Linked DNA regions of Drosophila melanogaster. The gene in region 2 interacts genetically with the main gene of each other region. Each region holds a gene or a part of one and is shown on either strand. Other genes may lie near its edges. The genes, in order: Ire1 and Atg8b.

Region 1 (8,158 bases), 2.1 Mb from region 2:
GAGAGCATTTTAGGCTCATCCCAAAAGAGCGGATGATTTCCGATACAACGAGCTGGAGGTCGCGATTGCGGATCCTTGTGTATCATATCCGATATTAATTGCTCAGCAAGGATCTTTAAAATAAAATGAAGTAATTAGAACAACTAGCTATAACTTTTTGGTGAAGATAACCTACAATTCGGCTGTCCTCACTGTCGTCCTCTGGGCGCAGCTTGGCCAGATTGTATTCGTGGGAGAGTATGTTGGCCTGTCGCTTCAGATTGTCACCAAAGGCGTGGTGACCGCCACTTAAAACATAATAATAAACGCAGCCCAAGGAAAATATATCCACAGCAGTTGTCTGTAAATAATTGAAAGACATCGATTTTAGAAAGTTCTTGTGATGGTGAAGAAGTAGTGTAGGGTAATAATAAAAATCATGTCGTACCGTTCGCTGTGATCTCATCATTTCTGGGGCTATCCATCCATCGGTGCCTGTTACACCCGATCGGCGTGAGAAACTAGTCTTGCCAAAATTCAGCTTCTTGCACAGCCCAAAATCGGAGATCATGACACGTACTTTGCCCTTGGCGTCTGGCAGAGAAATAAGAACATTTTGCGGCTTAATGTCGCGATGCACAATGTCGAGAGAGTGAAGATGACTAAGTCCAGATGCAGCCTGGCTCAACACTTGCCAAACATCGATGTGATTTTGAAGTTCCAGCGAGCGATCTCCTTCGGTGTAGTCCTGCAGAGTGGCCGCGCACAGCTCGACGGCTATGTAGCGGAACTGGCGATCCTGTTCGGTGCAGAAGTAGCGCACCACATTTTCGTGCGCGTCCGATTCTCGCAATAGGGCCACCTCGCGATCAGCAAAGGTGAAGCATTCGGGCAGCAGCCGTTTTACGGCTACGAAACGTTCCTCGAATGTGCCCTTAAAGACAAAAGTACCCTCGCAGCCCTTTCCCAGCACTTCATTTGTGCTGAAGCTGATCTTGCCCACACGCACTTGTCCATTACCCAAGTCCACTAGGTCTTCAGCGTTCGCATTGCTACCATTGCTGCCAGTGCTTCCATTGGATCCATTTTGGGCTATGGCAAAGGTTTTTGAACCATTCTCGCTCTGCTTTTGCAGCTCCCTCATTGTGCTGCAGGTGTACCAGAACAAGGCAATCATACCCAGAACGATAACAATTAGAATCTGATGCACCTTTCCGCTAGGATGCTCCATAAACCACTCGTTGATAAAGGCCTGCACCTTATTGCTGTTCTGCAGTATTATTGTCTTCGTCCGATTAATGGTGTTCCCATTCGTCCGCTGATCAATGCCAATTTCGACCAGCTCGGGATCCGTTTGCACGCCAATGTCGGCGGCGTTCTTTTCATTATTGGCCAACAGGCCGTAGCCATCGTTATAGTTGTGAATGGTGGCCAGACTTTGAACCACCTTGCTGCTGGCTGTCGTCGGTGACAGCTGCAGGTTACCATTACCCTCATTGGGCATGTTGTAGTGTCCCAACATAATTCCTGCATGCTCTTGCAGCACATCGTTAATGTAAATGGTGCGCGGATCTGTCTCTTGGTTGCTGTTCTGGTCTCCTGTAGGTCCATCCAGGAGTTTTATAGGTGGTGCTGTGGAAATACGAGGCGTGTTCTTGTCCACCAGCGAAGGCAGGGCATACAAGCCCTTTTGATGTTCGCCCACATAAAGGGATTGGCTGTTGAAAATATTACAATTAATATGGAATTCAGGACGAATATCGTATGTCCCTTACAATAGCTTCACGGTGTTCACATTTCCTGTTTTCGACTCCTCGAGGATGGCCTGGTAAGCCTCATCAGAGACCGTGGTGAATGGCACACTGAGTAGCCCGTCTGGTCCCAAAAGGAATGCAGCCACCACTGGGCTGCTCAGATCGCGCTGCCACAGAAATTTACCGTGTTTTCGATCCAGAGTCACAATTTGTCCATTGGTGGTGGTGGTCAGATGTATATACTCTGCGTGCGGGAGATCATAAGCAAATGTGTACACTCTTATATTATGAGATGCACTTACCATATTCCTTGGCCAGCTCAGGAGGAGCACTCACAGCATTGTAGTCGTAAAATGTGATATTCCATGGCTTAGCATCCTTGTTCTTAGCCAGGCTGTCGTACATCATGACCGTGTACTGAGTCCGGCCTAGATAGATGGCCCGCGAAGTGGCCCAGCCGATCTGCTCGCCCTCCTTACCATCCACTGTGGCATCGCCAAAGCCCATAACCTTTTCGCGTCTGCCCGTCTTAGGATCCACCATATACCAGGTGTCGCTCTTTTTCCCTGAGTACAGGATTCCATCGGAGGAACGACAGGGAGCATTGGCCACCAGTTGGGGAATGGTGTACGGTAACTTCTTAAGACTGCCCATCTGACCCAGCTGGTAAATGCTGCCATCTCGAGGATCGGGCAGAAAGTGCGGAACCTGAACATTCTCCTGATGTTCTGCTACTATAGGAGGATCTAAAAGAAATACAATTATAGCTTAAAAGTAAAATCATAAAAGAAAAACAAAGTAATAAACATGATTGCAAATTCGAAATCGTGATAAAGTCCGATTCCTTTGCATCCATGTAAAAGCACAATATATGCAAAATCACACAAAATGTATTCCGAGTGGTGTTAAACTTTCAAATCGCATACTGCATCGAATTCATTACAAGTTGTTTTGTTACGACAAGATAACCTAATATATATATACTCCGCGCCAAAAACACATTTGACTAGCCGGCAATAACAATATTTTTAGTTTTATTTTGCTTCTTTTTATTTCCTTTTATTACCCAGTATTAACTAGTAATGAACATTTCATGTCTATTTTTGACGAATTTTAAAAAATCCCACTGTTATCAATTAAAAATTTTAGTTTAAGCAGAAATTTCTGAATTCCAGATTATTATTCAATACTCAGCTTTAGTTAGCAAGTATACTTATTATTATTATCTTTTCAATTTAGAGTGATGAACCCCTTTTGCAGTAAATTATTTTAAGTGTGCACAGTAAACAAATTCCAATAAAAAGTTCCTGATATCGGTGCAACTAACGTGGAGTAAAGTAAGGGAAATATAATAAATTATAACCAGAACCTGTTCTCGATAACGCTTATCTCCTGATGTATGTACATACTTATACCGATGGGAACGAAAATGTAATCTATACATTAACCCCATCCCAAGCGGAGAGCACATTTTCTGGTGCACATTAAAGAACGTGAACACTTTCCACCAAAAGGCCCGAATAAATTAAGCGGCTTTTTGGCGCGGCAGACAAAGCCAAAGCAAACAGCAGTTGGGTAAATACGAAATAGACCTGGGGGACCCATGGCTGGCTGATCAAATCCAAAGTGTTTACGCCAGTCGTGTTGGCAATTTCTTTCTGTTATCGCCAACAATTCGCGCGAGGCAACAGCGTTAAATTCTGACTTTGTCGAATGCAAATGGAGACCATCATCGCATGCACGATATTGACGAAATGGTTTAAACAAAACTCAAGTATTGCCAGGAAAGATGGTCGTCAACCAATATCGAGTAATGAAACCAAACAATTCGATGTACTGTCCATTCTTATCAATAATTAGTTGCAACCCCAAAAACATTCCCGGCATTAACCGAATGTTGCCGCAATTTCTGGGGCAGGTCATTTAACTCGCCGCAGCACTTTCATTAGCATGAGCATTCTAATTGCCTAGCGGTAGTCGTAGACAAAACCTGATTCCGTCTCGTGATGAGGTAATAGAACCTAACAAATCGGTACACCGATCTGCTGTGCTAGAGCCGGCGAAACAGTGTAATTACCGCGAATCAAAAACATATTATTGGCTTGAATGACTCGGAAAAATACTGCCCAAATAGTGCGCTCTGCCATGAAACCGCTAGTCAGATGCTGTCCACATGTTTGTCTCCCTGAATTTTCAATCATTTGCAGTTCCACGAAGCCCGGCGACAAGCGGGCAGCATGAAATTTCTAATAATACGAATGGACATACATGTGTATTGCAGCTATCACATAAAATAATCTTCACGGGGCGTGGGTTTTTTATTTCAGAAATTAAACAAACATGTGGAGGGCGTATTGTCCACAGAGAGTCATTTGGCATAACTCCAATACTTAGTTGGGGAGTAATTAAAGGAAGTTCTTGAGGCATTACTTATCAGGCGAATATGAATGCTCTGAAGTGGAAAATCAATCAACAAAGCCAGTGAAAATAAAAATAGCACCAGGTTTATAAGCAATATTCGATAATTCGAATTGAAAATGCCCTCACTTTTTAATTAGATAAGTGAAGCCCCATTTTAGTGATCTATTGAATGCTATACACATTAAACAAACATAATAATACTAATGGTAGCCAACAAGTGCACCAATTCAAACGAAAGCTATGCACATTAACCCCTTTAATCGCGCAATTTACTAACATCTTTCTCCTGGTGACTCATTTATATATGCCAGCTAATCTCAGAGGTTAATACGAAGCAGCCAAATGACCACAAGATTAACGCACTTGAGAGCCACCGAAAATCAATACGTCACGCTGAGAAATTATGGGAATATTCAATGAACCGAATGGAAAATGGCTCAAAGTCCCAACCACCCACTGCGGAAAGGGTATGGGGGAACAGCAACTGGTGATATGGCGCACTGGCTGGCAACTTAATTGGTGGAATTGTGTGCCGAGAACGCTTGTCGAGATTGCGCTAGACGCGGGACCTTATCAGGCCCGCAGCACAATACACAACATTAATGGCGAGAGTGAAAATAATAGAGCACGAAAGGCGGTGGAAAGATCTATCCTAGGCTCTTACATCTGGCAGATACGAAATCTGCGATGAGCTCATCGAGCGCATGCATGTGCTACGCATTTCGCACTTCAAACGGCGAGTGCAACAGCCTGGTGAAGTGGCAATTTTCCAGGAGGGGTGGTGACAGCATGGGAATAAATATATATATATAGCTAGATCTCTTAAGATCTTTAAATCTACTATGCAAATAAAGCGGCAATTTCCCTAAAAAAAAAAGACTCCTAGATTTAGCTTAAAACAACAATAAACGCAAATAAAACGATTTAAATTTAGCTGTTAAATGGTCTAAAGAAACATTCTCACATTTCAATGAGCAAAACAATAAACAAAACAAAAATATTCTTAATGTGGCATTCGGTAACAATTAAATTTTCCTGACTTTGCATTTATGAAAGATCTTAGTGCTTCCAGTTCGAATGTTTTCAATAACAAAACCATATTGTTTTTTTATCTTTAAAGTATTTAGATACCTAAAAACACCCATTTCCCGAGATATATGCTGGAAAATTCCCACTTTTGATAATAAGGACCCTTCTTTGCCCATCATATGTTTCGAGTCCCACACTTGTGGCCGGAAAATAGGGGTGCAGTGAGTGTGGAGGACAGCGGAGTGCCCGCGTAATTACCATCTGCTATTGTCCAGCGTATTTCGCTGGTCACCGGATCGATGGCTGTCAGTCCGCCGCCCAGTGTGGAGAACACCATCAGCGCCTCCTCGTCGCGGGCGAGGTCCGTGCAGTCCTGCGGGTTGTGGAAGAGCGAGAGAAACTTATGAACAACATATCGGGCAAGGTGATGAAATATTCATTGGTAGTCCAGTGTTAGCCCTTAGTGGGTCATACGGCCCAGTGCCGCCCCCACTTACCGTCTTCTCATCCTCGCCGCTGCTGACGACTTCTGCCGAGTCGCCCTGTTGTGATTTTGCTGTAGCTGATGCAATAAGCCCGCTGGCCAGCAAAAATAACACGCAACAAACAACAACGCAGAATCTCATTTTGTTTTTGCAACCGGTAGGGCGCGGGGCGGGGGTATTAGAAGAGAAAAGAGAGCGAAAGAGAGAGGGAACTAGTTACTGCTATTTCCGATCCGTATTCAGTTTGCACGTTTAGTCAGTTTTCGTTTCTTGTTTGTGGCATATTATCGCCTCTTTTTCAAAACTTTTCAATCATCAAACACTGTTGCAGCTCTGGCCGTGCTAAATTTCACATTTTCTTCGCACTCGCGTTCAATATTTTCCAATTACGTTCGCCATTGTTGAGTTGAGAGTTCGTCGAGTGAGCGGAGTAGAGTGACAGTGGGCAGATAATTGGGAAAAGACCGTACTGGTTTGAAGTGTGACCAGGGAGCACGCAACGAGCCAAATATGCAACGAAATAATATCCCATTCACACTGACGCTTGAGATGGCAGCAATGGAAATCTTATTGTTACCCATCGCTGTTGCCATAAAATCAATTTAAATGTGAAAAGATCTTTTTATTCCAACATGGATAAAATTGTAACATATACGTGGTAATATAATGTGAGCTTTGGAGTTTCTGCGCTTGCAGTGTAAACTTCCCAGAACTTGTATTGACTTTGGTCGATAAAAATCGATAGGCGATCTAATTTCGATATTACACAATGCGTCTTGTTTTTACGGGTAATTGTGTTTTTAAACGCCTGCTGCACACGGAAATAGGCGGAAAGTATGCCAAACAGCAGCCGCGGAACCTCAAAGGACGGAGCAAGAGCTCCCAGGAGTGGCTTACGCGCCAACTGGCGGATCCGTACGTGGAGAAGGCCCGCATGATGAACTATCGCTGCCGGAGTGCCTTCAAATTACTGGAGATCGACGACAAATACGGAATACTGCGGCCCGGAGACACAGTTTTGGAATGCGGAGCTGCTCCTGGCAGCTGGACCCAGGTGGCCGTGGAGCGGACCAATGCCAACGGAAAGCAGGAGCGGGCGCCACAGGGAGCCGTCTTTAGCATCGACCTGTTGCATTTCCATGCTGTGCCGGGTGCCACAATCTTTGGCGGCATGGATTTCACTTCTTCGCTGGCACAAAAGCGGCTGAGGGAAGCGTTACAAGACAGAAAGGTCAACTGCGTGCTGTCCGATATGGCACCCAATGCCACCGGAGTGAGGATGCTGGACCAGGAGAGCATCACTAACCTCTGCTACGAGGTGCTGCGCTTTGCCCTGGCCATGTCTGCTCCGCAGGCCCATCTGGTGGTCAAGGTGTGGGATAATGGCGACGTGCCCAAGCTGGAGCGAGATATGCTTAGGTTTTATGAGAAAGTGAAGAGAGTAAAACCGCGCGCTAGCCGCGGAGACTCCGCCGAGCACTTCCTGGTGGCCAGGAACTTTAAAGGAGCAACGGATAGTTAATTATTAACTGCGTTTTTTGGACTAGTTGAATTAAAAGCTTTGTTAATTGACTGTAGCTTATATTGGATAGAATAACTAAAGGGAAGTAACCTAGGATTAATTTCATCTCAACATTTTTGTTGATTTTCTTTTTGATGTTTTAATCTTTGTTGTTATATACAGTTCTGTAACAAATTATATGAATTTAGTTGAGTATTAACAACCCAATGCTCTCATCAACATATTTATGCATTCAAAACTCACACCAAATTATTCATGATTAATTTTAAAAACAAAGGCTTAAATTTGGTCTCCAAATTGTACTGAATAGTTTAAGTACGCATTTCCTAGTGCTTGTAATGAGTAAGGTGATCAATCATCATGTACAGCCACTTGGGCTGATCGTGAGGAGCCATGTGCCCGGCATTGCGGACCATGATCTCCACAAGATGTCCGGCGTGCTTGACATAGCCGGCCACTTCCTTCCCAACGCGCCACACTTCGCGGGGAGCCACCTTGTACTTGTCCGAGCCGGGGAACTTTAGTTGGTTGAGATAATTGCGCGTCAGTGGATAGGCAACAATAATGTCTAGCTGCCCGCTGTAGATGCACACAGTATAGTGGGCCAGCAGTTCGGCTATCCACGGGGCCACCGAGTCCATGATATCCTTCTTCAAGTGAAGTTCCACCTTGTTCTCCTTGTCCAGATCATGGAATGTCTTATTGCCCACATGAATTGCCCGCCGAGTGGCGCCCGCCTGCAGAAATTCGCCCAAGTTGGCGCCATCATCATCATGCGTCTTCAAGTAGTTGTAGTACCAGTTGTATCCAGTAAGGTTGCTGAACAGTGAGCCATTGGTAAGGTCCCCGTTGATTAGGGAATCAAATACGTCGAAGGCGCACTCCATGTCGTGACTCTTAATGCATTCAGCACCCTTTGCCTCGGCATCGTGGAAACTCTGCAGTCCGTGCTCGTCGATCAGGCCCAG
Region 2 (3,365 bases):
TGAACCCATATATTTATATTTACTTTTTCCATATAACCATCTGGAAGTTTTCGAAGAATACAGCCCATGTAGATTAGTTTGATAAACAAAAGCTGTATATCAAAGGGTTTGGAAGTTGTGGGTGGGTGTCTGACGGAATAAAACAGAAATAAAATCAATTCGAAATTATGATATAAAAATTTCCTTCGCTAATCCATGGACACGGTGTCAACAAGTTTGTCTCACCACATTGGACTTGGCTTCATGCGACACATAAACCAACTTGTTGAATCTTATTGCACGCCTTTGGAGCACACTTTTGCCCGATTTAAACTGGTTTTATGTCTCATATTTTCATCAATTAGTGAACTTAAGCAAACCATACGGCTATCGAATATGTGAATTATAATTAAGCCGAAGCAGTGAGTCCACTAAATGTTTTTTCGAGCGCTTCAATTAACTTTTTGCGGCAAGACCAGGGGCAAGGGATTAGCGGATGCTATGCACCCACTTCCAACGCGGGGGAAGCACATACTGCGATAATTATTGTTTAGCCCAGCATGTGCCATGTGATGACGACGTTGTCTGCTTCTGGTTAGCTGGCTAGGAGCAGTCATTCTTTATTGAGCGAGTAGTGCCAATGGCAAAAAATGACAATTGAAACTCAACCGACCGCCAAAACGATTACGCGAGTCAAGCCCGCGTCTACTGCCGTCCATAGACGTTCTCATCGGTATAGGAAATGTAGAGGAAGTAGTCCTTGTCGAAGTGCTCCTGGTACAGTGCACCCATGGTGGCCGATGTCGGTGGGATCACATTGTTTACGAAGAAGAAGAGGGCGTCGTCGGGACGCAGATTGATACGCTTGCGGATGAGAAAGTAGAACTGGCCCACTGTCAGGTCCGCCGGCACCAGGTACTTCTTCTTGTCCAGCTCCGCGTAACGCGTCTTCGGCGCCTTTTCCACGATGACGGGCACACGGTCCGGATACTTGCGCCGGATCTTGTCGCCTTCGTTGCGGCGCTTGTCGAACGAGTGGTCCTTCTTGTACTGGTAGTTCATATCCATCTGGGCGGACTGGAATACGGTTCGAATCGAAACGGAGCGAAAAATGGGTTTTCGTTTTGGATTTGGTACGAAGGTCTTATGTAGCTGCCGGCCTGAGTTGCTGGGAACTATGTATGATTTATCACCTTTACTGCACAGATAGCTTTGGCAGATAGAAAAGTGCCTGCTCTTCTCGGATTTGAATGGGAAATGGGAGAGGGAAAATGTGATTGTAATCAGGTTTAGTATTCATTCCTATTCATGGAAAAGTATATCTATACCTTTAACCAATCAGGAACATACGAAATTTGTTGGAAATTCTAAATTAAAGAAGAACTACTTATATATGAGTGCCAAATTTCCCTAGGGGCTTTCATGGTGCTTACACACATATTTCTTGTATCGTTTTCATGCATCGCTCCAATTAATTAATTTGAAGTATCCCATTACCGTTTAAACTGTTAATTGTAATTGTGTCCTTGGAATCGCACTACGAATGTGCTGTGCAGGACTCCTCGGGCTAGAAACTTTCCATTCCATACTTCACTGGCGCATTTATTTTATATATTTTCATTGATTTAATTAAATATTTTGTAATACGACAAAAACTATATAAATCCCTGCAGTTGGCACCGCTCTATGAACCTTTTTTTGCAGGCCGCCCCAAGGCGACAATTGGCCCAAAGACGTTACAATCAAGGCTCCCAAGGCGCTGACCACAAGGGAGCTCAACAAGTGTATGTGCTGGGGGCGTACAACTGCGAAAGCTTTTACCTGTACCGACCGCAACGGCAACAATGCACGCAACACACGCAAAGCTGGAGCAGATGTGTTGTTGGGCTCCGTCGTCGCTGGCTGCTCGTCGCTCGGACAGCGCTGGAGCTCTCATTCCGCCATAGCTGCTGGAGCTGCTCGGTTGTTCGCGTTCGGTGCCTCGGCAGTTCAGTTTGTCGTTCTACTTCACAGTACTACTACTTGGAGCAGTTCGTGCATCGCTGGTTTCCGGTTGTGGCCTGGGCGTAATCCCTTGCAACAGGTGCACTTCAGTTCGGACGAAGACAACTGCAAAATACCTGGGATATTTACGCTTCCGGTGAGCAACATGTCCAAGAACGGACCCTTTCGATTCGTTAGAAAAAGGCGTGTGTGTGAAATAATCTTTCGGAAAATCCATTATAATTCAGAGTTTATACGCTCATGTGATGGTCGAAAAAATTGTTAGTCCCACGATCTCTCCTTTGATGTGTTGTGTGTGTTTGCTGAAAAACCAGGCCATAAAGTTATCAATTTTCATTTTGCCCAAAATTGATTCTTGATTTTAGTGGCGATTAGCCATAAACACGGGCAACTAATCTATGTGTGCCTGTGTACTGATTGTGTGCGGCAATTGCTAATTAAACTCACGGGTGCGAAACAAATCACCAATTGTATTCCACAATCCGCAAAAGTAATCGCCCTAATGGTGTTGCTTTAGCTCACCTAGAAATGTGCAGTCCAGAGCCCATTCGTTTGTGAGATGATCTGAGATTCGATAGAAACGTACGGATTTTGTGATGTGGTTACCGCATACCTGCTAATAAGTCCATGCTAATAGACTTCAAAAATCAGAGAGATTTCTTTGACTGGATAGATAGAAACGGCCATGCGCTTTCTAAACGCACAAAATACAATTTTAAAACAAATTAAAATGCACTTTGTTGGCTTGGAGACACACACACACGAGTTTTTGCGGTCAGCCAACTGGCAAAAGCTAATTTGATTTATAAAACAAATGCGTATCTGTTTTCTCCTTTTCTCGTGAAAAGTGCATAAGAAATAACAGAGCAATTAGGTAGGTAGGTAAAAATTGAAGCTTTTCTGGCCACTGAACTAGAACATTCTAATTTGATTTATATGAACAATATTGCGACTTGCGCCTAATAAACTCAAACTGACTTGTTTTACCATGTTGTTAATGCGGCAATTAACAATAATTCGTTAAAAACGACACCATAACCGTTTTTTTTTAGGGTCCAAATATGAGAGCATTGCGTTCACTGGACCAGAATCTTTGGCGTTCCTCCCACTTAATCGTGTCCGCCTGGTTTAATTACTCCAACTTGGTGTCCGCCATTCAAAGGGGAATTAGTTAAATGGAATGCAAGAGTCGTCAGAGTGGATTTAATCCAATTGAACGGCTGCTAACTATTCGGTGTTGATTCGAAATACAAATAATCAGCCAGAGCTGCCAATCAAGCGAAATATTGTGTAAATAATTGATTTAACTCATTTTCTTGGCTTTGTCCGATGGCCCAATGATAGATTTTGTATATTCAAATGATTTTTTTTCTATCATTTTC

What was found.
Region 1: of Atg8b (region 2) and Ire1, changing one suppresses a phenotype caused by changing the other (phenotypic suppression), as found in Drosophila melanogaster (one study listed by BioGRID).

The regions. Positions count from the first base shown.
Region 1 is NT_033777.3:19,855,206-19,863,363, forward strand, and holds the start of Ire1 (Inositol-requiring enzyme-1), read right to left. Parts: upstream 6,087-8,158; 5' UTR 5,810-6,086; coding exon 5,681-5,809; intron 5,557-5,680; coding exon 5,442-5,556; intron 2,480-5,441; coding exon 2,036-2,479; intron 1,978-2,035; coding exon 1,755-1,977; intron 1,698-1,754; coding exon 428-1,697; intron 341-427; coding exon 176-340; intron 114-175; coding exon 1-113. Other genes in the region: Mrm2 (mitochondrial rRNA methyltransferase 2), read left to right, coding at 6,438-7,190; CG4572 (uncharacterized protein), read right to left, coding at 7,517-8,158.
Region 2 is NT_033777.3:17,723,864-17,727,228, forward strand, and holds Atg8b (Autophagy-related 8b), read right to left. Parts: upstream 1,201-3,365; 5' UTR 1,048-1,200; coding exon 685-1,047; 3' UTR 547-684; downstream 1-546.